Lytechinus pictus: one gene and its partners. The protein of the gene in region 1 binds, or shares a complex with, the protein of each later gene. Links are inferred from orthologs where the notes say so. Each region holds a gene or a part of one and is shown on either strand. Other genes may lie near its edges.

Region 1 (7,158 bases):
AAGATTTTGATGTTGATTCCCCCAACATGGTCTAAGTTCATTGACCCTAAATGACCTTTGACCTTGGTCATGTGACATGAAACTCAGGCAGGATGTTCAGTAATACTTGATTAACCTTATGGCCAAGTTTCATGAACTAGGTCCATATACTTTCTAAGTTATGCTGTCATTTAAAAAACTTAACCTCAGGTTAAGATTTGGTGTTGACGCCGCCGCCGTCGGAAAAGCGGCGCCTATAGTCTCACTCTGCTATGCAGGTGAGACAAAAATGTTTGTATAATAAACAAAGACAATCTCAATTTATCAAGACATGATTTCTCCTAGTTCATTAGAATTTTCTCTATTTAGACGTTATCGTTTGCAGCTTTCTGGACAATCCTGGTTTTTCAACCAGTAGCGTAGTCTGATCTAACTAGTCACTCAAGGGTTCATTACATGCCGCTGCACACAGAAAAATCAAGCCATAGAAGTCGTGTGTTGTGGACACCAGAAGTGGGATCGCAGCACGCGCGACCCACTAGTTAGAAATCCACTGCCAAACGCGGTTCATGGTGCGAGGTTAGTATACTAATACTGTCCTCGCAATACATGTGACTTTTTGTGAGTGGATCTAGAGTAGACTAAAGCTAAGTTAGCCCTCTTTAGGAGATTAGCTTTTGTCTATCACTATTTAAAGTTGAAACTAGCGAAGAAAAGGTCTGATTTTGAATGCGACTCGCGACTTTGAGTCTGAAAGAAATCAAAAGACCCATTATAATCTCAGTCGTGGGGAAATAGATTAAAAAAGAAATGAGAAAGAAGACGAAGATCATAATGATGATCATGAAATGATGAAGCGACGACGGCGACAATGATTGATGTCTGATTAATAAACACCCACGGCTACATCTCAGCCGCCGACTACAGAATAATTGAAGGCACGGCGCATTCAACAAATAACGTTAATTTACGAAAAATTAATACGAGGACTTACAGAATGAAGTCCTCCTACGAAACTAACGAAACGATGTGAAGTCAATTCCTCATAATTTGATGAATATCCCTCAAAATGCGTCATTTAAGCGTTGATTTTACTTCTCGTTGACAAAATACGAAAGCTACTGTAGGATTGTTAATTTGTCATTTACCTACTTTGTTTATTTCCTTTGACTTGTGTTTTCTTAAGGTGTTTTACATTTCTGTTCTGTCTAGATCTTAGTTCATTTGCATTTCTTTTCAGTACTGCCCTTGCAGTCTGGACTAAGGTTATTTGAGTTTAATGATATTCAGTTGTCATTCATTCATTCTACTCTGAATGCCTTTCCTGTGTTTCTCTTGTCATCTTCATTCCTTCTCTATTCTCTCTTCAGGTGTTCCACTCATTCCATCCCTCACCTGACTCCTTAGTTTTTACTTCCATTATTACATAATCACCAGACATCTTTGTCATCTCATCTCATTCCTTATTGGTTTATCTTATGAATTGGGTTCTTACATTTTAGTTCGATCCTTCCATTTTCTTTAGTTTGATTGGTTATTTCTAATTTAAATATTTATGTAAATTATACTGTGATCCAAAGTTAAGCTGAGGCAAAATAGCCCAGATATTAAACAGTGTACAACCAGACTCCTTCGGTTTAAGTTCTCTTCATTTTGCGTCTGCTTCATTCCCCTTCAGTTTGATGATTTAGAACTTCATTTATTTTCAACTCCAAACATATAATTTTCTTCAACCCTACACTACCTTTCTAGCTCTCAAATTTTTCGTCTAATGAGCGAAAGAGGGCGCGCGATTTATCTTCATATCAAAGACACTACAATTGAAAGACTAGACACAGAAATTATCTTACACGTAAATCGATGCAAAGCGTTACGCGAAGTCGGCAGTGTTCAATCTTTTTACTGTAAAGACTTTGGTGGAACATTAATTGACAAACGAACGGTAGCACTTGCGGGGCTTTGTTCAAGGTACATAGAATTATCTATATTTTTTGTTTAATTTGTCATCGTTTTGAATATTTTCCAAAAAGTATTATCGTCAGCAAAAATAATAAAAAAGTACTTTTTTTAAGTTATTGCATTTATTGGGGTCTCTATTTTATCAAACAATTATTGGAATTGCGCATACAATGAATCATGAATCTAGTTTAAAAAAAAACACACAGCTGAATTAAGGTTGTGAACTGTATTAGCGCCACCAACGACCTCCTTATTATTTCCGTGGAAGAGACGTGCGAAGCCACTTTCCAGGCGGAGGTAAGCGATTTTGCTCTTTTTTGTATCCTTTTAAATTAAAAAAATATGTTAAAAATTGAAAATGGAACGCTTTATACCATAAAAAGCCCTGGTGAGTAGCGGAATGGGTTTCGGCTAACATCATTCACGTTATGAAGCGATGTTAACGACAACTCTAAAATCCACTACAAAAACATGATGGTTGTGCGAGGACGAGGTTCGTATACTATATTATAGGCCTAGTTAGTATAGAATATACATTTATAGTTTAAATTATACTAACCTCGCAATAGTCAGTGTGAGTGATTAATAAATGATGAAGATGATGACAGGGGCAAAACGGTGTACATGATTGACGAATAAGAAATAACAGTCGAAGTTTCCATCCATAGCCATAGCATAGGCTATAACGTTAGGTATTGCTTCGGCTTTTGAAATTAGTTTCACCATACATACCGTACCAGCCCGCCAGCTGCCCTGACCTCGCGCCTCGCCCGGCCCTCGGGCTAGGGCCGGGTTAATTTTTTGTGCATGTGCCATTCGAGGTGTCGCAGCCGGCAGCCGGATCTGTTTGGTCTGAAATTGTAATAAGTTGCTCCGCTACGTACCGATTTTTCAGAGCGATGGGATTTACCATCCTTTTCTCTGTTACTAGTTTTCGGACTTCTACTGCGAGATCTTGGTCTATGACTACGATGTCTATCGTAATCGTCGTGGCTTCGATGTTTTCTTGAGTCTGACTTTGATGACATTTTTCTCTATTCTGCAAAAACTACATTAATGCCCAACGGAAGATGGCGCTATAAAAGAAATCAAAAGACCGTATTTCTTTTAACTTTATTTGGGGAGGAAGAGATAGAATAAAACGCAAGGTTCTATATCAAGACTATTCTGTTGGAGGACTGAGAGCTCCAAATTTTGAGGTCTTTGTTAAGACCCAACGAATAATGTGGATTAAACGTTTGCTAGATGGAGGGAAAAGTTCGGGTTGGAAAGCAACCTTCGAATATTTTTTTAGCTCTTTAGGTGGTCGAATCATATTTCTGTGTGATTATGATACGATTAGAATGAATTTAAAAGGTATACCATTATTTTACATAGATATGCTGAAGGCATGACACGAATTGGATAAGTGTAGACATTTTGGAGGGAAAAGTAATCCCATTATTTTTAATAACAAGCGTCTATGCCTTAATAATAAGACCTTTTTTATATTGAATTATTTCAGAAAGGTATAGTTAAGGTCTCGGATATAATAGTTGGAGGTAAATTAAGACCAGTTTCATACTGGTATAATCTGAAATTTTCATCTGAAAACTTGCTCAAAATTCAAAAGATATTTTCAGTAATAACAGAAGAGTGGATACAAAATGATTTTATGGAAATGGATACAGACAACTTTGAAATTCAATTGATGATATGTGGGCATGTTCAGAAACTATGTGATATAAAATCTAGACGAATATATGACCACTTCATTGAAAATTTTCAAATTGATTATGTGCAATGCTATGCAATAAACACAGAGAATTTCAATACAAACAATTACAAGGGGCTGTGTACACAAAAAGGGAACTTTTTAAATTCGGTTTTGAGACAGATAATTTATGTTCCTTTTGTAAAAAAGAAGTTGAGTCTTACCAACATTTATTTTTTTATTGTCCTGAAGTTAAGCGATTATGGGAAGAGATGAGTAAAATATTTCAACTGAATGAACTTGGCAGTGACGTTTGGAAAACAATTTTCATGGGGATATCTGGAAATACTACAAGAGTAGCTTTAATAAACTGTATTATATTCTTAATTAAGTATATCATTTTTAGTTCAAGAAAACAGGGAATATTGCCAACCGTACAGAAAGTGACACATTTGGTTAAAGAGTATAGAGATACGGAATATCAAATAGCGTTTAAAAAGGGGAAGCTGGGGGTGCACTTAAGGAAATGGGAACAAATCAATGCATACCTTTCTTAATACTATGGATGTATTGGTTGCTTCATTTTGTTTCTGTTTTGTTTATTTGTTCAAATACAGATAATTGTACCAGAGCAGGATGCATTGTGTGTGGGTGTACGTGTGTAGATGGATGTGTGAGTTTTGTGACGGGGAAGAGGGGGGGGGGGAGCTGTGAGTAGTGGTGGTTTGAAGTGAGCTTGTGTGAGTGTCTGGGGAGAGAGATGAGGGGGGGAGGGGGTATGGGGGTATGGGGGTAAGGTGAGTGTGTAGGGACGTTTTAGGATAACCTTCCTCTAATTAACCTTTAAAATAATATTTTATCCTTTTTTTTTTCTTTTTTTTCGTACAATTAATATGTGCAAAAGAGATTATTTCTATTCTATTCAGGGAAAAATTCATTTTTTACAAAGTACGTTTTTTTTATTTTTGTCGATTGATACGGGTTTTTCCCCTCTGCTTTCACATTGTTATAGAAGAGAAATTTGGCAGTTTAATTTAATTTGTAATCATTTTAAAAATATTCGTAATCTCATTGATATTGATATATTTATTTGTTTGATTGTTTATTGATTGTATACATACAAAGAATCTTTATTTATATGAATTGTGATTGTAAACTTATTGATTTGAAAGAGGAAGAAAATAAAATATTATTCAAAACAAAAAAAAAGTATCTCAGTCGTGGGGAAATAGATGAAAGAGAAGAAAAAAGAAAAAAAAATGAGAAAGAAGAAGAATAATGTAAGAAAGAAGACGAAGATAATGATGATAAAGCGACGACGACGACGATGATGATGATGATTATGATCAATATGATGACAGGTGCAGATCTAGCTTTTTTCTAAGGAGGGGATTTTGACCGAGAAATTTGACAAGCAAGCAATAAAAAAAAAATGTTGGTTTTTTAATGGTTTCACTATCAATAGAAGGTCATTTGGGTACCGAGAAATGTTCTTGCAAGACAAAAAAAGGGGTTCACTACCAAAAGGAGGTCCTTTGAGTACTGAGAACTTTTTACACCCCAAAAAAGATGGTTTTAAAAAAGAAGGTCATTTTACCAGAAAAAAAGGTTCACTATAAAATGAAGCTAATCAGGGGTTTGATCCGAAATGTAGATTATTACTTTTTTTTACTTGGCAGCCCAAGAGAGGGGTTAAATCCTTAAACCCCAATCAACTGGGTGCCAAACAAAATACGAATACATGGGATTATTTTGTATTTGTAATGTGATTTTAACGGAGGGAACTATAGCTATATGCTTTCCAGAAGGTTCCCATTTCATTTTAATATATGCTGTATCATAATTCCGGCACTTTTTTTTATAGTTTTGTTGAAAATTTGAAATGAAATGAATTTGTTAAATAAAAATGGTAAATCAGCTCAGATTTCTTATTCATGAAAAATTGTTTTTCAGTTTGAAAATTCCTGAAAAAAAAACTAACTGGCAAAAAGTGTTTTCAGATTACAAAACATTCTTGGGAGTTGTATATTGTGAAATATAAGATAACTTTTTGCCAGTTAGTTTTTATTTTTATTTTTCCCCAAGTAATTTATGGAATCACACAATGACTACCACTTTGAACAAAATATGTAAATCTGAAATCATGAAGAATAATGGTTTTCAGCACCTTTTTTTAAGAATAGTCTAATAAAAGTGTTTAGGCGCTTTGAATATTTGAAAATCTGATAAGATACTTGAAATATTATATATTGGTTGAAATCTTGAAAATCAGCCCCCAGATATACAGTGCGTATACAGTTTACATTTAGAAATAATGCTGTAAAATTATAGATTTGTAATATCCTGAAGCTTTTTTCCACATGTAACCATTTGTACAGATCTCCTAAAGCAAATGACGATATATAACTGTGAGTACCACTTAAAGGACAAGTCCATCCCAGCAAAAAGTTGATTTGAATAATAAAAGAAAAATCCAACAAACATAACATCGAAAATTTCATCGAAATCGGATGTAAAATAAGAAAGTTATGACATTTTTAAATTTCGCTTAATTTCACAAAACAGTTATATGCACATCCTGGTCGGTATGCAAATGAGAGAACTGATGACATCACTCACTCACTATTTCTTTTTTATTTTATTATATGAAATATGAATTATTCTAATTTTCTCCTCATTGTCCTGCGAAATGAAGTTTTATTCCTACCTGAACATGTGGTATTACCATTCTTATAACATCTTACGGCTCATTTGCAGGTCACTGAGTTGTGCATATAACTGTTTTGTGAAAAATAAGCAAAACTTTAAAATGTCATAACTTTCTTATTTTACATCCGATTTTGATGAAATTTTCAGCGTGATGCTAGTTTGATTTTTCTCTATTGATTCAAATCAACGTTTTTCTGGGGTGGAATTGACCTTTAATATCATTTTCAAGCTTGGGAAAAGTGTGGAGAAACCCCGGGGGATAAACAAGTATTAATGAAATGTGGTCCCACTTTAAATGATAAAAACTTAGTGCGGCATGTAGATGTCTGAAATAAACTTTTGTTTACATTCAGTTGTGTCCTCAGATCCAGCTGGCACAAGAAAGGAGTAAAGGTTGAGCGTACTGTTTTTATTTCAATTCGCTAAAAATACAAAGGAAATGTATGAGAAATGTACCTTACCACACGGTTAGTTTGCTTTCGCCCTTTGTGCTTGACATAGCGTCAAAATGAGCATTTCTGTGCAACCGATTTCTGCAAGCTTAACAAAAATCAATGGACAGTATATTCACTCAAGTGTAACATTCTGTCAAAATGTTTACTTTTATTTGATAGATGTGACCCAAACCCAAGTATATAAGTGAACAAATTATCACCATGTTGTATATTTTTCAATTCCCAGGACTTTTTCAAAGTGTATTGATACCCATTGTAGATAGATAGATAGAGAGAGAGAGAGATGGAGAGAGGGGGAGATAGATATATGAGGAAGGGATATAAATCAGGCTTATGAATATCCTTAATTCCTTTCTTTATTAT
Region 2 (7,416 bases), on another chromosome or scaffold:
TGTATGATAGTTATTGATTCCTCTGTACTTCTTGTCATCCTCCTCTCCTTTCAACTCCTACATGAGCAGAAAAAAACAGTGAAAATGATAACCATGTCCTGTCTACAAGACATTGACTGTGCTGTAATGAATAAAGAGTGATTAAGCTGCATTTGATTTATGGCGGTTTCATGGTGTAGTGGTTCCTTCTCTTCATCAGAGGGTCAAACCCTATCCCTGATTCTGATTTCCTTTAGGCAGAGAAATTCATCCATATTGGGTTGCACTTAAATAACCTGACTGAGGCAAACCGGGAACTGGCAGGAATTTTTTTCTCGAAAAGCAGACTATAAAATCAGCTCTGCTAAAGACAATATATATGTGCTGAATTGTTGTACAATGATTAGGGAATTTTCTGATGCAGAAAGTATTAATCCCAATATATTAAAGCAAGTATAATCTTCTCTTGCTGATGAATACAAATCTTTTGTTTCATTGCTTGTATGGGAAAGCATTTGAAAGTTAGGGACTGTAGGCTACTCTTGGTATTATTCCCTTACTTTCCTACTGTTTGCCCAGCCAATGGGCGAGCAGGCCAAAACATGGTTGGGGCAATAAATTTTGACATTTTTGTGAGAATGAATCTGCATTCTGGGAATGGAACCAGGTGCTACTTGGCTCAGGCTTAAACTTAATGATATAAAGTACCAACATGGGGCTCTGGCCAAGGAAAAGAAGACGAAGAAGAAAAAAGAAAATGAAAATAAAAAAGGATCAAATATATCATTTTTCATTATTATTGTCAATATCCATCGCAAAATTAGATTTCCAATTTAGTAAGACCAGAATTTTTGTTTGCTCACAACTTTAAAGATATTTTTCAATATATGCCATGTTGTCCTTAAAATTTTCAGCTCATTTTGCCACTGTAGAGTATAATGAAAAAACCTTGACACACCAAATTGACACAAACAGCTTCATGCTGGCCCAAGCTATTGCCAAATGCATACTTAATATGTCCCATTAAAATCAATGTTAATTGGCCGGTTTCATAACTAATTGGAACCAGGCAAATTTTTACACTGATTTCAATGGGCAAAGAAGGCATTTATACAGTCATATCTTGGGCCCCCATGGTCCTCTTTTATCAAATATGGGTTGTGATGTAATCGCTCCTTGTTCTATTCAATGTAGCTGTGGCAGATTGGATTGGAATAGTAATGCATTATTCTTTGCATACCTCATTGATCTTCTTCTGTTTCTCAAACAATGCCTGTGCATCTTCATTGAAATCTGTATCCAGGTTATAGGTTGCTGTAGCACCCCCATCTTCTGGTCCAGTTGGTTTCTGAAAAGTTAAGACCATCAATAACTCAAACTTTAAAGGAATGTAAAATCAACCCTTTATCCTGGGAAAAAATAAAATCAATGCAGGCAAATCTACTGAACTCAAACCTCTTAGCATCACAGAAATCTGCGTGATTTGGGTGCAATTTGGCTTGGAAAATTCATTTACATTGTATATTCTGGTTTGAAAAATGCTTAGACTTGGGCAAGCTTTTATGAAAGGATGACTAGTGAAGACTCTGCTGAATCTGTTCTTCACTCATTTCAAATTGCTAAATCACCTCAAATTGACCAAGTATTTGTTCAGGAGTCAGGATAGTTTCAGAGTAATTGTGAAGTCAGAAGTCAATGATTTAAGATGTGGAGACAGGTATGAACTGTCATAATTAAAAATAATCTCTCTCCTCCTTCGATAAGAAATGTAAACATAAGATGGAGATGCCATTTTGATAAATAGCCAACAAGTCATCAAAGATGAAGCAAGACAAGTTTTATCATTTTATTTTGTAATGTATGAATATTTCGTTAAAATCATTTTAAGAATGATGAAGTATTGAATGACAAATAATTGAATACTCACAGCGGATCTACTGGATTTATAGCTGACCATCGTATCCTTAGATTCATCTTCACTACTGTCACTGTATTTGATATCTTGCTTCTCACTCAGTTTCTTCGTCTAAAATAAAGGAAGATATTCATATTAAAATCTTTATTGCAACTACTCACCCCTCCCCCCTTTAATACCTGCCAAACTGGGGTAATGATAAAGTTTGTCTTGGAATTAAATTTTATATTTCTTGCAATAATCAGTAATAGGTGCGGTTATGCAAATCTTGGGATCAACCTATACTTGTGAATGCATGATTTCAAAATACTTTATCTTACATTAATTACTTTTCATAATCACTTATTTTAAATTTCTTTTCATTTAATTACTATCTATTCCACTTTGCAAAATAATTGGAAGAAAAATGATTAATATGTAAACAAACTGTATATAAAAAATGTTAAAGGAAAAAAAACAGCAAATTACTCGTACAATTGGAAAAGCATACATGTGTACAAACTACAGTCCAATGAATTTTGAATTTCAGATTGCTGTTATATGAGAAGGCTATATCTTTATCATTTCCTTTAAACTGTTTTAATGAATTACATGTTCCTTTATTCATTGGTTGTACAAGTGTTAGTATAAATTAGACCCAAATTTTTACTTCAGTAGTACAATTAGCAATTAATAATTCCTTTAAATTAGCAATTCCTTTTAACTGTTTTAATGAATTACATGTTCCTTTATTCATTGGTTGTACAAGTGTTAGTATAAATTAGACCCAAATTTTTACTTCAGTAGTACAATTAGCAATTAATTAATGAGACTTTCATTCCAGAAGAAATGTTGCCATACAACAAACCTATACCTAGCCATCAAGCGAACACAGTATCAAATTAACATCTCTCCTGAAATGATTCCAGAGTATGATAGACTTTTACACTAATTTTTACAAATCTGATAAACAATGTACAAGGGAAATATAAAAATAGTGAAATAGACAAGTCAATTGTTGGTACAAATGCCGAATTGTATTACCTTTTGTCTCATAGGATTTGGAATGGCTTGTCTCCTTTCTTTCCTTACAACAGCACTCTCATCTTCATTACTTCCTATATAACAAAAGAACATAAAAGGAAAATAAGAAAAGCACTTTAAAATAACTTTTGAACATATAAAGAAATATCAAATCAGGGCTACTGGTGTAAATAATCTACTGGAATGAGTCAGAACCATTCTGAATCCATTATGAGCAAACTTACTTGATATATGATAAGTCACATAGGAATGCATACAGGGTTTATAGGCTAGGTGAATAGTCAAAATGACTATCATGACTCATGAAATGTAGAAATGAGTTAGGCAGACATAACAATTGAAAATGAAGTGCAAGTAAAAACTAATCCAGACTACTTTAAGGGGAAGTCTGCCACAAAAGAAAGTTTATTTCAATAAAATAAAAGAAATCAAACAAGAATCAAAATGGGATGTAAAAATACAATACTATTTCAATATTTTGCTTAATATCACAAGGGCATATCAAAGGGGGTGTGGAGGCAATGGCGGATCCGGGGGATCCGCCATTGCTAAATTACATTAAAGTTCTTGCATAATTTTAGCATTTGAAATTGAAACAAGAGTAAAAAAAAGAGGGACAGTGAGAATTAAACCAAATTTAGAGAAACACCAAGGACAATTGAGCCTGATTGAGTGCAATTTTGATTGGCATGTCATTTTGATCATTCGGCTGATGCCACAACAAGCTTGCAAACGTACCCCTCTCAAATTGCACATGTCGGGTGTTCTTAAACAGCGGCGTGTGGCTATATCGACACCAACGTTATTGGATACAGCCACAAGCGGGTAATTGCATAAAATTATTTTGGATATACTATTAGTGAAGTGGTTTACTACAGGTGGCATGTGCAACTGCACTAGCACCTCTCATGCCCTAGATGTTAAGCACTCATTAGCACCTACCACTTTGAATAAAATGTAATGCTTAAAAAAATGTCTCCTAAATGGAGACTCAAGTATGTTTTTCCTTTTCAATCTGTCACTCTTGACTTTGTCATCGTATATTCAGAGCAAGACGTAAGGACTAAATCTGGGCACAACGCAAGGAAAAATTGGTGAGTTTTAATCCAGTTTTCATATATATATACCTTTTGTATTATATTTGGGTGGCTGTCCCAAAAGGCACTCTTCCTACAGTAACTAAACCTAAAAATTACAAAGGTTCTATGTTAAATATTACGGGAAACAGCTTAACAGGGCATTTTCCCACTCCTACTAACAATGGGGTCAAAGCATAACTATTGACCTCATAGGCGACAATAGCGCAAATAAGGGGTGGTGTATTTGTAGAAAGTCGGCATCCCCGTAGCAACACACAAATGCACACAAAGATGGGGGGGGGGGTGAATTGTCTAGTGATTTTATATTTTTCTTTTAATTACAAACATTTTTAAAGTGAAATTAGTTCTTGTATATTTTTGATTTGATTTGATTTATTTCATTTCCACATTTCAAAACAAAAACAAAGAATATACAAGTATAATATTTTTTTTTCAATATTACATAATAGGCAAATATTTTTTTAAACATAATGAATAATGCACATAAATCATTATAAAATATCAACTGTACTGTGAAAATTATATCTATATATACATTTTCTTTAATTAATGAACATATATATATATAGAAATGTGGGAGACCTCCATCTTAAGCTTGGAGCTTGAAAGTGATGGAGTCCTCGAAAGGAAAGTTAAGATATCACAAATTATATCTAATATGAAAATTTTGATCAAATATCTGTCGATTTCATAGAATGGTGCTTGGAAATCTGACAACTCTTGCAGGTTTCATTGAGGTCCCATTGCCACCTAGTCCATGGGCAATGCAAGTCACTCATCCAATGTAAAATGTATAATGAATAACCTTGTCCTCTGTTACAACTCCCTGTGTGGTAAAATAAGGTTGGCAATGTTTGGCTTATTTTCTCTTGTTCTTGGACTTACACTTTTTACACTGTCAGTTTCTATTACAGCTATTCATCATATAACTTGGCTCTAACTTAGATTTACTTCTTTTTTCAAAATTAAAAAGAGATTGTTTGGTGACAATTCAGACCAAATTTATTTCCCACCAATAGAGGGCCCACACCAAAATATGCTCAAAATAAAGTTTTTGAGTGCTCTGGTAAATTAAAATATTGATCTCCAAGTTAGTAATTAAAAAAAAAAAAATCATAACTGTATAGGACTGTATGAGTATTTTGGGTTCCAAAAGTGATATTTTATAGAATTTTTAAAATGTGTTATATAGTCTATAATATGTACATTCACCACAGGCAGGGTGGTTGCAGTGAACAAGTTAAAGTGATGTAAGTTTTGTTTTTGTCAACATGTACGTTCAACTATAAAGGGGGAGACTAGGTTAAATTATAACCTCGTGTATAGGATGATTGTAGTTAAGTCATTATAAAAGACCTTTTCCAGCAGTCCCATACAGTTATACTTGTTATGATTGTTCGTCGAGTCCAGTTTCAGCTCCGCCTTCGGCCTTAATCGAAGCTCCGACTCCGACTTGCTTATGACCTACATCACTTGTTGACAACAACCACCCTGCCTGTGTGGTATCTATGCAGTAATACAACACACATATTAAAAATTCTAAAAAATGACTTATGTTTACAAAAGATCATGCTCGAAATTTGACGGAATAAAGCCATATTTTGGTATGTATTTCTACTCCCCAATCATATGTTCTATATTAGGGCTAGATATATTATTCTGAACCTTCTCCATGTTTTTATTTTTAATTCTAGTGGGGGTGCATATGGAACTCTTGCTAAAAAACAAGCTCCTGGTAGTAAGTAAATAATTTCCATTTACCATATATATTCAACATTAATTGTACCACAGAAACACACATGACTTTTATTTGATTCAATGATTGCATGTTTGTTTTGGTCCAATTATGCTGAAGACAGAGAAAATAAGCCAAACATTGCCAATACTATTTCACCACACAGGGAGAACAGAGAACAAGTTTTTATTATAGGCTTGTTTATTGAATGAGTGACCTACATCGCTGATTAGATTCTAATACACCCATGGGTTCATTTCATCCCGCGTGCGAAGGAATATCAAATGCACACGACACATGCAAATCTTTCATGGGCTTTTGCCCAAATAAAAGATTATAACACTAAAGCTATAATTTCACATTGTGCTATGACACTTATCGAACAATATGGATCCTTTTTTTTTAATGTATTTTTTCTTTATCTTCACGTAGATGCCCTTTGATCAGCGACAAAATCAAATTTGGCCTAAAGAGGGCGCGCAATTTTATTTATAAGCCGGTTTGTTTACGGTACTGAAGCTTGTACTGCTAGCTGCATTCTAGACGCCCAGCATTATTTTCTTGCTCGTTCAGTCCACTTTCATCATCATCTTGTCAAAAGATGGCGTACTTCACCTATAAGTATATACATGAGATGCACTCACACAACATGTGAGGTTAGTATTACTAACCTCGCACAACGCATGTGATTTCATAGTGCATTTTGACGTTTTCATTCATCACACGAATGTGAGGGACTAAAACACGCCAAACCTTTAAATATTTTTCCACTATGTTAATCTTGATCGTATGATTTAAGTTCATTGTAAAAAGGAATTGGAAATTATTTATAAAAGTGTTTTTATCGCTTACCTCCAAATCTCAACCACGATACTTCGTTCGATCCGTCCTTAGTCTTCTTCTTCTTCTTATGTTGGTTTGAGTGGCGATTAGTCATATTTGACTATTGTCGCCATTGACATTATTAATAAAAAATCTCACTTCTCACATAATAATATTATTACCAATATGATGTATACATATATAAAATATTTTTTTTGTATCCTTCTGATATGAAAGAGGATAATTATGATATGTACAAAAGTTTGCAGTAACTCTTGTCAAAATGGCATATAAACAAAACTTCACCAAAAACAAACCGCTATCTTCAGCTCAGTTCCAACTAGTTGCGCTTGCCCTGCCCTTTCAAAGATGCAATCATACCGGTCAGCACGGTACATTGTGCCGATTTTTCGGACATAAATGCCTAGGTCACCCATGCATAGACGAGGGGGCGCTAGTGTACCTGTGCTTACAGATGGGTTAAACATTAAAATAATTTGTTTCTTTTTTTTAAACAACAACAACAACAAGGCGAAAACACTTGTGGGCTTTGTTAGTTATATGTGCAGAATATATCATATTGTATATATTATATCATACATTATTATGTATATATATATATTTTTTCTTCTTTTCACATTAGACTTGTACAAGCATATCCATTCATATTTCTTATAGACAATACAATATTAAAATAGTACATCACTCCTTACTAAAACGTTTCGTTCTTGAAACGAAACGTAAAAATGCTTTCTGTATCCCTGGGTCATCTTTTTTTAAATACTCCATTATTTGTCCTGGCTGTGATTCATTCAATTCTACAAGGAGCATTGATCTTTCAA
Region 3 (7,675 bases), on another chromosome or scaffold:
AAGTTCACGGCGGCTTCCGCTATCACCACGAGGTTGAAAATAAAATGAATATCATCATAAACGATGTAAGAGAGTAACGCAATAAGCTCCGTCAGTTGCACGATGTTTAAAAGTTCACGGCGGGGTCCGCTATCACCACGAGGTTGAAAATAAAATGTAAATCATCATAAACGATGTAAGAGAGTAACGCAATGAGCTCCGTCAATAGTACGACCTTTCAAAGTTCACGGCGGCATCCGCTATCACCACGAGGTTGAAAATAAAATGTATATCATCATAAACGATGTAAGAGAGTAACGCAATAAGCTCCGTCAGTAGCACGATCTTTAAAAGTTCAGGGCGGGGTCCGCTATCACCACGAGGTTGAAAATAAAATGTAAATCATCATAAACGATGTAAGAGAGTAACGCAATGAGCTCCGTCAGTAGCACGATCTTTAAAAGTTCACGGCGGGGTCCGCTATCACCACGAGGTTGAAAATAAAATGTAAATCATCATAAACGATGTAAGAGAGTAACGCAATGAGCTCCGTCAATAGTACGACCTTTCAAAGTTCACGGCGGGGTCCGCTATCACCACGAGGTTGAAAATAAAATGTATATCATCATAAACGATGTAAGAGAGTAACGCAGTGAGCTCCGTCGGTAATACGACCTTTCAAAGTTCACGGCGGCGTCCGCTATCACCACGAGGTTGAAAATAAAATGAATATCATCATAAACGATGTAAGAGAGTAACGCAATAAGCTCCGTCAATAGTACAGTCTTTAAAAGTTTCTGGCGGGGTCCGCTATCACCACGAGGTTGAAGAGAAGATTTATATCATTATAAACGATGTAAGAGAGTAGCGCAGTGAGCTCCGTCGGTAATACGACCTTTCAAAGTTCACGGCGGCGTCCGCTATCACCACGAGGTTGAAAATAAAATGAATATCATCATAAACGATGTAAGAGAGTAACGCAATAAGCTCCGTCAATAGTACAGTCTTTAAAAGTTTCTGGCGGGGTCCGCTATCACCACGAGGTTGAAGAGAAGATTTATATCATTATAAACGATGTAAGAGAGTAGCGCAGTGAGCTCCGTCGGTAATACGTCCTTTCAAAGTTCACGGCGGCTTCCGCTATCACCACGAGGTTGAAAATAAAATGAATATCATCATAAACGATGTAAGAGAGCAACGCAATAAGCTCCGTCAATAGTACAGTCTTTAAAAGTTAATGGCGGGGTCCGCTATCACCACGAGGTTGAAGAGAAGATTTATATCATTATAAAGGGGGTAAGAGAGTAACGCAGTGAGCTCCGTCGGTAATACGACCTTTCAAAGTTCACGGCGGCATCCGCTATCACCATGAGTTGGAAGAGAAGATATCTATCCCCTTAAACATTGCCATAGATAATACCGCGACTTTCTCCCTGAATAATGCGACCTCTAAATAGCTAGCACCTCAAAAACAATCTTGAAATATGTTCTGAGCGATCACGCACTGTAACCGGATCTACGCCGATTTTTTATTTTCGATTTTTTCCTTCAAGGGGCATGATCGAAGATCGGCAAGTGATTGCCGATTGTGGTGAAATCGAATGGAATCGGTTGCCGATTGCAAAATCGGTTACAAGCTTACTTACTTCATATCACGAAGTCACAGAAAACTTCCCTTCCTTCGTTTGGAGATCGTTGCACCGATCGCCGCGGAAGTGATACTGAAATTATCGGTCGATTTTCATTATTTTTTTTGGTCAATTTGAGGAGCTTGCGTTTGCAGAACACGAGTACCAGCGTATAATATGCAATGATCACTGTTGTAATTGGTTGATTCTCAAATTGGCTCCGAGTGTTATTGCACAATGCTTTCGAGACCGGATCGTGGTACAAAAACTTGATTCTCCAGAAAAAAATGTGGATTAATCAGTGATTTTGGAAGTGAATTCACTCTAGCTTAGTCAAAATGTTTCCCGAACTGAGCCTGTATTATATAGATCTAGATCTAGTGTGGGGATATCACTCGTGTCAAGGTGAAGACATTTGATTGAGAGTGTTACTGTTATGTTCCACGATCGAATTATTTTTTTTTGTGTTAGGGAGCCTAGGCTAAATTACAGTCCCTTTTTCATGTCGACATTGTCGATGTCGGGATTAATTTTTAAGCGACATGTCAACATGGATTTTTGTTCCCGACAACAGCACTAGTCCAAAGGTGAAAATTTGTGACATGTGTTTTCCCCATATTTTGAACTCCGTTAATATGAAACTGTGAAAACCAAAAGTAATTCGGACCCAATTTTTCAGGTACTTGTTGGTGGTTGACATGTTAGGTGCCCCAAGGAAAAGCAACCTCTATACTTCATCAAGATTTAAAATACTTAGATAGCTTTAAAAATGGCAAAAAACAAATTTTTGCCATTTTGGCATTTTTCAAAATTTGAATTGGCCATATCTCGGCAACCCCTGGTCCAATTTTTTATGATCTTGGTGTCATTTTACTCGTGTTTCAGAGCTTATTCCAGTCAAAACTATTTAATACTAGATTTACAACACTTCAATTTTTGTGGTGGCATCCCTACTTTTGAGTTTTATCCCAAAAAAAAAACACTCTCCATTCCAACTTCCATTCAATAATTTTTGTAAACTGCTCAATGGGTCTATATTAGCATGAACCATGATTTTTCCTGTCATATTTACTTGGAATTCGAAAAATGATGTATTGTGTTCGAAGTTTAGAACCCAAGACTGTCCGCACAGCACATTACACAGATTACAATAGGTGGGAAAAGTCAAGTGTTGCGCGTGCCAAGCCCAATTGCAAAAAAAATGAAAAGCGAGCTGGGAATCTACATTCTCTAGGGACGATATTACATCTTAAACAAACAAATCAAATATCACTTACCGCTTTGTACTCATATTGTAGTGACCTAGCCGTAGCATCAGCCATGGCTAAAGAGTAAAGTGTACTTCTTGATGAATTATCTTACGATTAACTGACGTTTTTCACAAAAGTAGAACTCACGCATTTTAATGGGTAGGCACTTATGAACCAAGTTTGAAAGGAGACTCGTAAAATGACGTCACTCTCGCCGATGAATATTCATTAGATCGTGGTCGTGCGTGTTCAATACACACTGCGTGCAGGCATGCAGATACAGGATAGTTATATGCGAGGAACTTTGGCTCCAGAGACAAGTTGTCAAATAACGTGTGTGTGTGTGAGTGTGTGTGTGTGTGTGTGTACCATCGGCTGGTAGTATTCCATGCTAGACAGACTTCAAACCGCTTCGGAGAGAGTGCAATTCGGTAAAACCAAGGAGATATCACTCTCTCCTTGGTAAAACGAAGTTTCCGATATAAAGAGATAATAACACTATATGTACAGTACGTTGGGAGGCAAATGTCAGATCAGGGGAGGCAGGAGTACAATCAGGTTTTTTTTTAAAGGGAAGAATAGAGTAGAATAAAAGGTATTATATATAGCTAATTGATCTAGTAGAGTGAAGTGAACAATTATGTTTTTTTTTAAAGAATGAATATACCTTACGTGAATATTATGGTGAAGCCAATTTAAAAGGAGGTGAGACAAGTTTCAATGGAGGTTTTTAAAAAGAATAAACTGCATTATGGTGAAGCCAATTTAAAAGGAGGTGAGGCAAGTTTCAATGGAGGTTTTTAAAAGAATAAACTGCATTATGGTGAAGCCAATTTAAAAGGAGGTGAGACAAGTTTCAATGGAGGTTTTTTTTAAAGAATAAACTGTACTACAAATTTAAATGGAGGTGAGGCATTAAGTTAATTTCAATGGAGGTTTTTAAAAAGAATAAACTGTACTACAAATTAAAAAAGAGGGTGATCAAGTTTCAATGGAGGTTTTTAAAAAGAATAGACTGCATTATGGTGAAGCCAATTTAAAAGGAGGTGAGGCAAGTTTCAATGGAGGTTTTTAAAAGAATAACCGTAAAATACTACAAATTTAAATGGAGCGAGGTGAGGCAAGTTTCAATGGAGGTTTTTAAAAAGAATAAACTGTACTACAAATTATGGTGAAGCGAATTTAAAAGGAGGTGAGGCAAGTTTCAATGGAGGTTTTTTTTTAAAGAATAAACTGTACTACAAATTTAAATGGAGGTGATGCAAGCTTCAATGGAGGTTTTTAAAAAGAATAAACTGTACTACAAATTATGGTGAAGCAAATTTAAAAGGAGGTGAGGCAAGTTTCAATGGAGGTTTTTAAAGAGAATAAACTGTACTACAAATTTAAAAGGAGGTGAGACAAGTTTCAATGGAGGTTTTTAAAAAGAATAGACTGCATTATGGTGAAGCCAATTTAAAAGGAGGTGAGGCAAGTTTCAATGGAGGTTTTTTAAAGAATAAACTGTACTACAAAGGAGGTGAGGCAAGTTTCAATGGAGGTTTTTAAAAAGAATAAACTGTACTACAAATTATGGTGAAGCGAATTTAAAAGGAGGTGAGGCAAGTTTCAATGGAGGTTTTTTTTTTTAAGAATAAACTGTACTACAAATTTAAAAGGAGGTGAGGCAAGTTTCAATGGAGGTACGTTTTAAAAAAGAATAAACTGTACTACAAACTTAAAAGGAGGTGAGGCAAGTTTCAATGGAGGTTTTTAAAAAGAATAAACTGTACTACAAACTTAAAAGGAGGCGAGGCAAGTTTCAATGGAGGTTTTTAAAAAGAATAAACTGTATTATGGTGAAGCAAATTTAAAAGGATGTGAGGCAAGTTTCAATGGAGGTTTTTAAAAAGAATAAACTGTACTACAAACTTAAAAGGAGGTGAGGCAAGTTTCAATGGAGGTTTTTAAAAAGAATAAACTGTCTGTACTACACATGGGTGTCAATCGGTATTCTTGGTTGGGGGGGGGGGATGATTGACACAAATGTTCTTGGGGATGGGGATCTTTCAACATTACCCCCACTAAAATCACAAGTTAGAACATTTGGGAGTGGTTGATATGCATGGTGTTCTTGGAAATTCCTTCATTGTTGCAGTGTACTGTATTATGTATAATTTTTTTTGAAAATTCAATTTGTGTTACAAGTAAGCATGTTCTAAGCTCATACGAAAGAAAAAATGACAAAAATTGTCTGGACCATGTACAAAGTGATCTGTTTATTGAGCATGATGTATACAACTTCTCTCTTAAATCTAACCCGACTGGCAATATTTTTTTTCTTCTTAATGCATGATGATAAAATGCAGATTCGGACAAATTAAGACTAGCACAAATTACAAACGTTGTGGCTTCTAGCTCGTGCGCCATCGGGCTTACCGTCATTCCTTAGACGATTTTAACCCTGGATTTTAACATGTTTTAAATGCTTTGTAAGTGAATGAAACAAAAACAAACATAAAAACAATCAAAACTCAACTGTCTGTTATGATATTTCTCCAACATTTTCTTGAACCATCAGTGTGTAATATCAGCTAATATATGTGTTAAAATGAAATTTACGTACCGCATGAGTGTGCTCATATAGATTGCAAACCTGTCATCCCTTTCCAAACTCAAAAGAGATTTCTTTTTGCCAAAATAAGAAAAAATCAATCAAGTTTAGTTATTCAAGTCCATAACAAGAATAACATGGAAAAAATCCGATGTTCATATCCGAAGATACGCTTTAAAGAGAAATGAATGATTATTCTTTCTGATGGGGTCACATGATAAAATGTTTGATATTAATTACATCCAACCGCATACAACAAAAGCACCATACACATGAGCTACTGATCACCACACGACCATTATGACTTTTTAAAAGTGATATGGGCTCACTCTTTCATGACTATAGGCACCTCATTTCCACATAAACTCCTCAAAAAAAGTTTGGAAATCTGACTTTGATCGATAATCCCTCCTCAAATTTAATATACATGTATATCAATATGTTAGTAATATCACTGAATAGATCATCTAATTCTCTTTAATATGATACCCTACATGATATGATTATGGTTCACATGGAGGTGCAGTGCCTTGAAATGTGGGGCAAGGTCAAAATTCAAAAGTTGCACAATGACATAATATTGAAAGTTACTGGTTTTTTTTCCGTGGTGATGAGTTGGGAGAATTATCGGCCAAACTCAGATTTCCAAACTTTTTTTGCTCGTTTTGCAGCTTTCAAATTCAGACCTCATCCAACACTTTTGAATCCTGTTCTTTTCGTGATGACAGAGAATTAAGTGATCTTTTGAATGACGTCAAATATGCATTGTGTAAAATTTGGAGTTGGGAGAAATTAATAGCCAAACTGATTTCCAAACTTTTTGTGAGGAGTTTAGATAGGTAATGAGGACATCAATGCTCTCCTGCAAAATATTATTGACCAAAACTTATCGTTCAAGTCAAGGTATACACAAGTAGAGGTGACATTCGTTTTGTGCACATCTTCCTTTTGGTATAATTTCATGTTCAAAGGTTTACTGAATGCCGAACATAATATATAACAATACTACCATGACATACATCGGTATATAACCAGGCAAAGGGTTGTAGATTAAATGGGATGGACAAACATCATGCACTTGGATGTGGGGAGGGATAAATCTGAGAAAAGTTATTTGTACTTTTTCAAGATCTACCCCTCTGGGATTTACGTCCATGGGGTTTTCCCCGTTGATCTTGCCACCCTCTTACTCCCGTTTATTTATACACCCTTTTGAATTAATTGATTTGTTAAAATTAATTTATTAACCACTGGTGGGATGGAACACCTATCAACAAAAGTTGTTTTTCGTCGGGGTCTTTTTATGTCATGTATTTAAAAATATCATATACATAAACATTTCATTATTTTTCATCTTGAACCTCCATCAATCTGTTTAAAAGTCATGGAAAAGAATGTTTTTATTTAATAACAATATACACAAATTGCGAGGGAAACAAACTGATTGATGGCATATAATCATCATGATCAAATTTTCATTTTTTCATCATCATTATTATAATTTTTCTACCCTAAATTATAGGGGGGATGAAAATACAGACCATCCCCCCACTTGAAATAATGGGGGGGGGGGATATATTCCCCCCCCCCCCCGTGATCGACACCCATGGTACTACAAATTATGGTGAAGCGAATTTAAAAGGAGGTGAGGCAAGTTTCAATGGAGGTTTTTTAAAAGAATAAACATAAACAGTCTTTGTAAATGTTTGTGCAAAAACTTGATAAGAATGCATGCCGTTATCACACAGTACTTGCCAACTTTTAGTATCTTTTATCATGGTCCTAGGCCTGCCAGTACTGAAAATAAACGTATTTTAAACTGTATTATAGCGTATATTTTTATTTACTCAAACTGCAGTTGCTTTCCATGATCATGTCTTGGTTTTATAATACTTGCTATATGTGTCCAGCCACCCCAATACCAACAATAAATACATTGATTTAAAGATTCTCATTGATCTTGAACAATCACATCCTAAGCTGTAAAATGATTTATCTTGTTAATATTGATTAATAATATCCCTCGCTAGTACTTGATTGAATGCGAATAAATTTGGTGAGAGCTTCAACAAATAAGAGAACAAGATTTGGGGTTCACTTACGCATGCGATGTGTAATATGTAGTTCAACTACTTAGCAGTGAGCAAAACACGGATATCAAAGTCTTGTATTTTGTCTTCAACTTTTACAACCTCACATTTTGACAATATGAAGAATTTTTTTTC

The links. Proteins that work in one complex are often made in the same cells at the same time.
Region 2: smad nuclear-interacting protein 1-like (region 1) and E3 ubiquitin-protein ligase RNF113A-like share a complex: the UniProt entries of both Homo sapiens proteins name them as parts of the minor spliceosome. The link is inferred for Lytechinus pictus from reciprocal best matches to the Homo sapiens genes SNIP1 and RNF113A.
Region 3: smad nuclear-interacting protein 1-like (region 1) and U5 small nuclear ribonucleoprotein 200 kDa helicase-like share a complex: the UniProt entries of both Homo sapiens proteins name them as parts of the minor spliceosome. The link is inferred for Lytechinus pictus from reciprocal best matches to the Homo sapiens genes SNIP1 and SNRNP200.

What each region holds. Positions count from the first base shown.
Region 1 is NC_087248.1:10,826,072-10,833,229, reverse strand, and holds the start of smad nuclear-interacting protein 1-like, read right to left. Parts: upstream 3,012-7,158; 5' UTR 2,967-3,011; coding exon 2,823-2,966; intron 1-2,822. UniProt on the Homo sapiens protein: Required for pre-mRNA splicing as component of the spliceosome. As a component of the minor spliceosome, involved in the splicing of U12-type introns in pre-mRNAs. Down-regulates NF-kappa-B signaling by competing with RELA for CREBBP/EP300 binding.
Region 2 is NC_087247.1:22,149,235-22,156,650, forward strand, and holds the start of E3 ubiquitin-protein ligase RNF113A-like, read right to left. Parts: upstream 3,026-7,416; 5' UTR 3,011-3,025; coding exon 2,918-3,010; intron 2,006-2,917; coding exon 1,907-2,005; intron 1,328-1,906; coding exon 1,220-1,327; intron 58-1,219; coding exon 1-57. UniProt on the Homo sapiens protein: Required for pre-mRNA splicing as component of the spliceosome. As a component of the minor spliceosome, involved in the splicing of U12-type introns in pre-mRNAs. E3 ubiquitin-protein ligase that catalyzes the transfer of ubiquitin onto target proteins.
Region 3 is NC_087256.1:3,906,442-3,914,116, reverse strand, and holds the start of U5 small nuclear ribonucleoprotein 200 kDa helicase-like, read right to left. Parts: upstream 3,026-7,675; 5' UTR 2,930-3,025; coding exon 2,885-2,929; intron 1-2,884. UniProt on the Homo sapiens protein: Catalyzes the ATP-dependent unwinding of U4/U6 RNA duplices, an essential step in the assembly of a catalytically active spliceosome. Plays a role in pre-mRNA splicing as a core component of precatalytic, catalytic and postcatalytic spliceosomal complexes.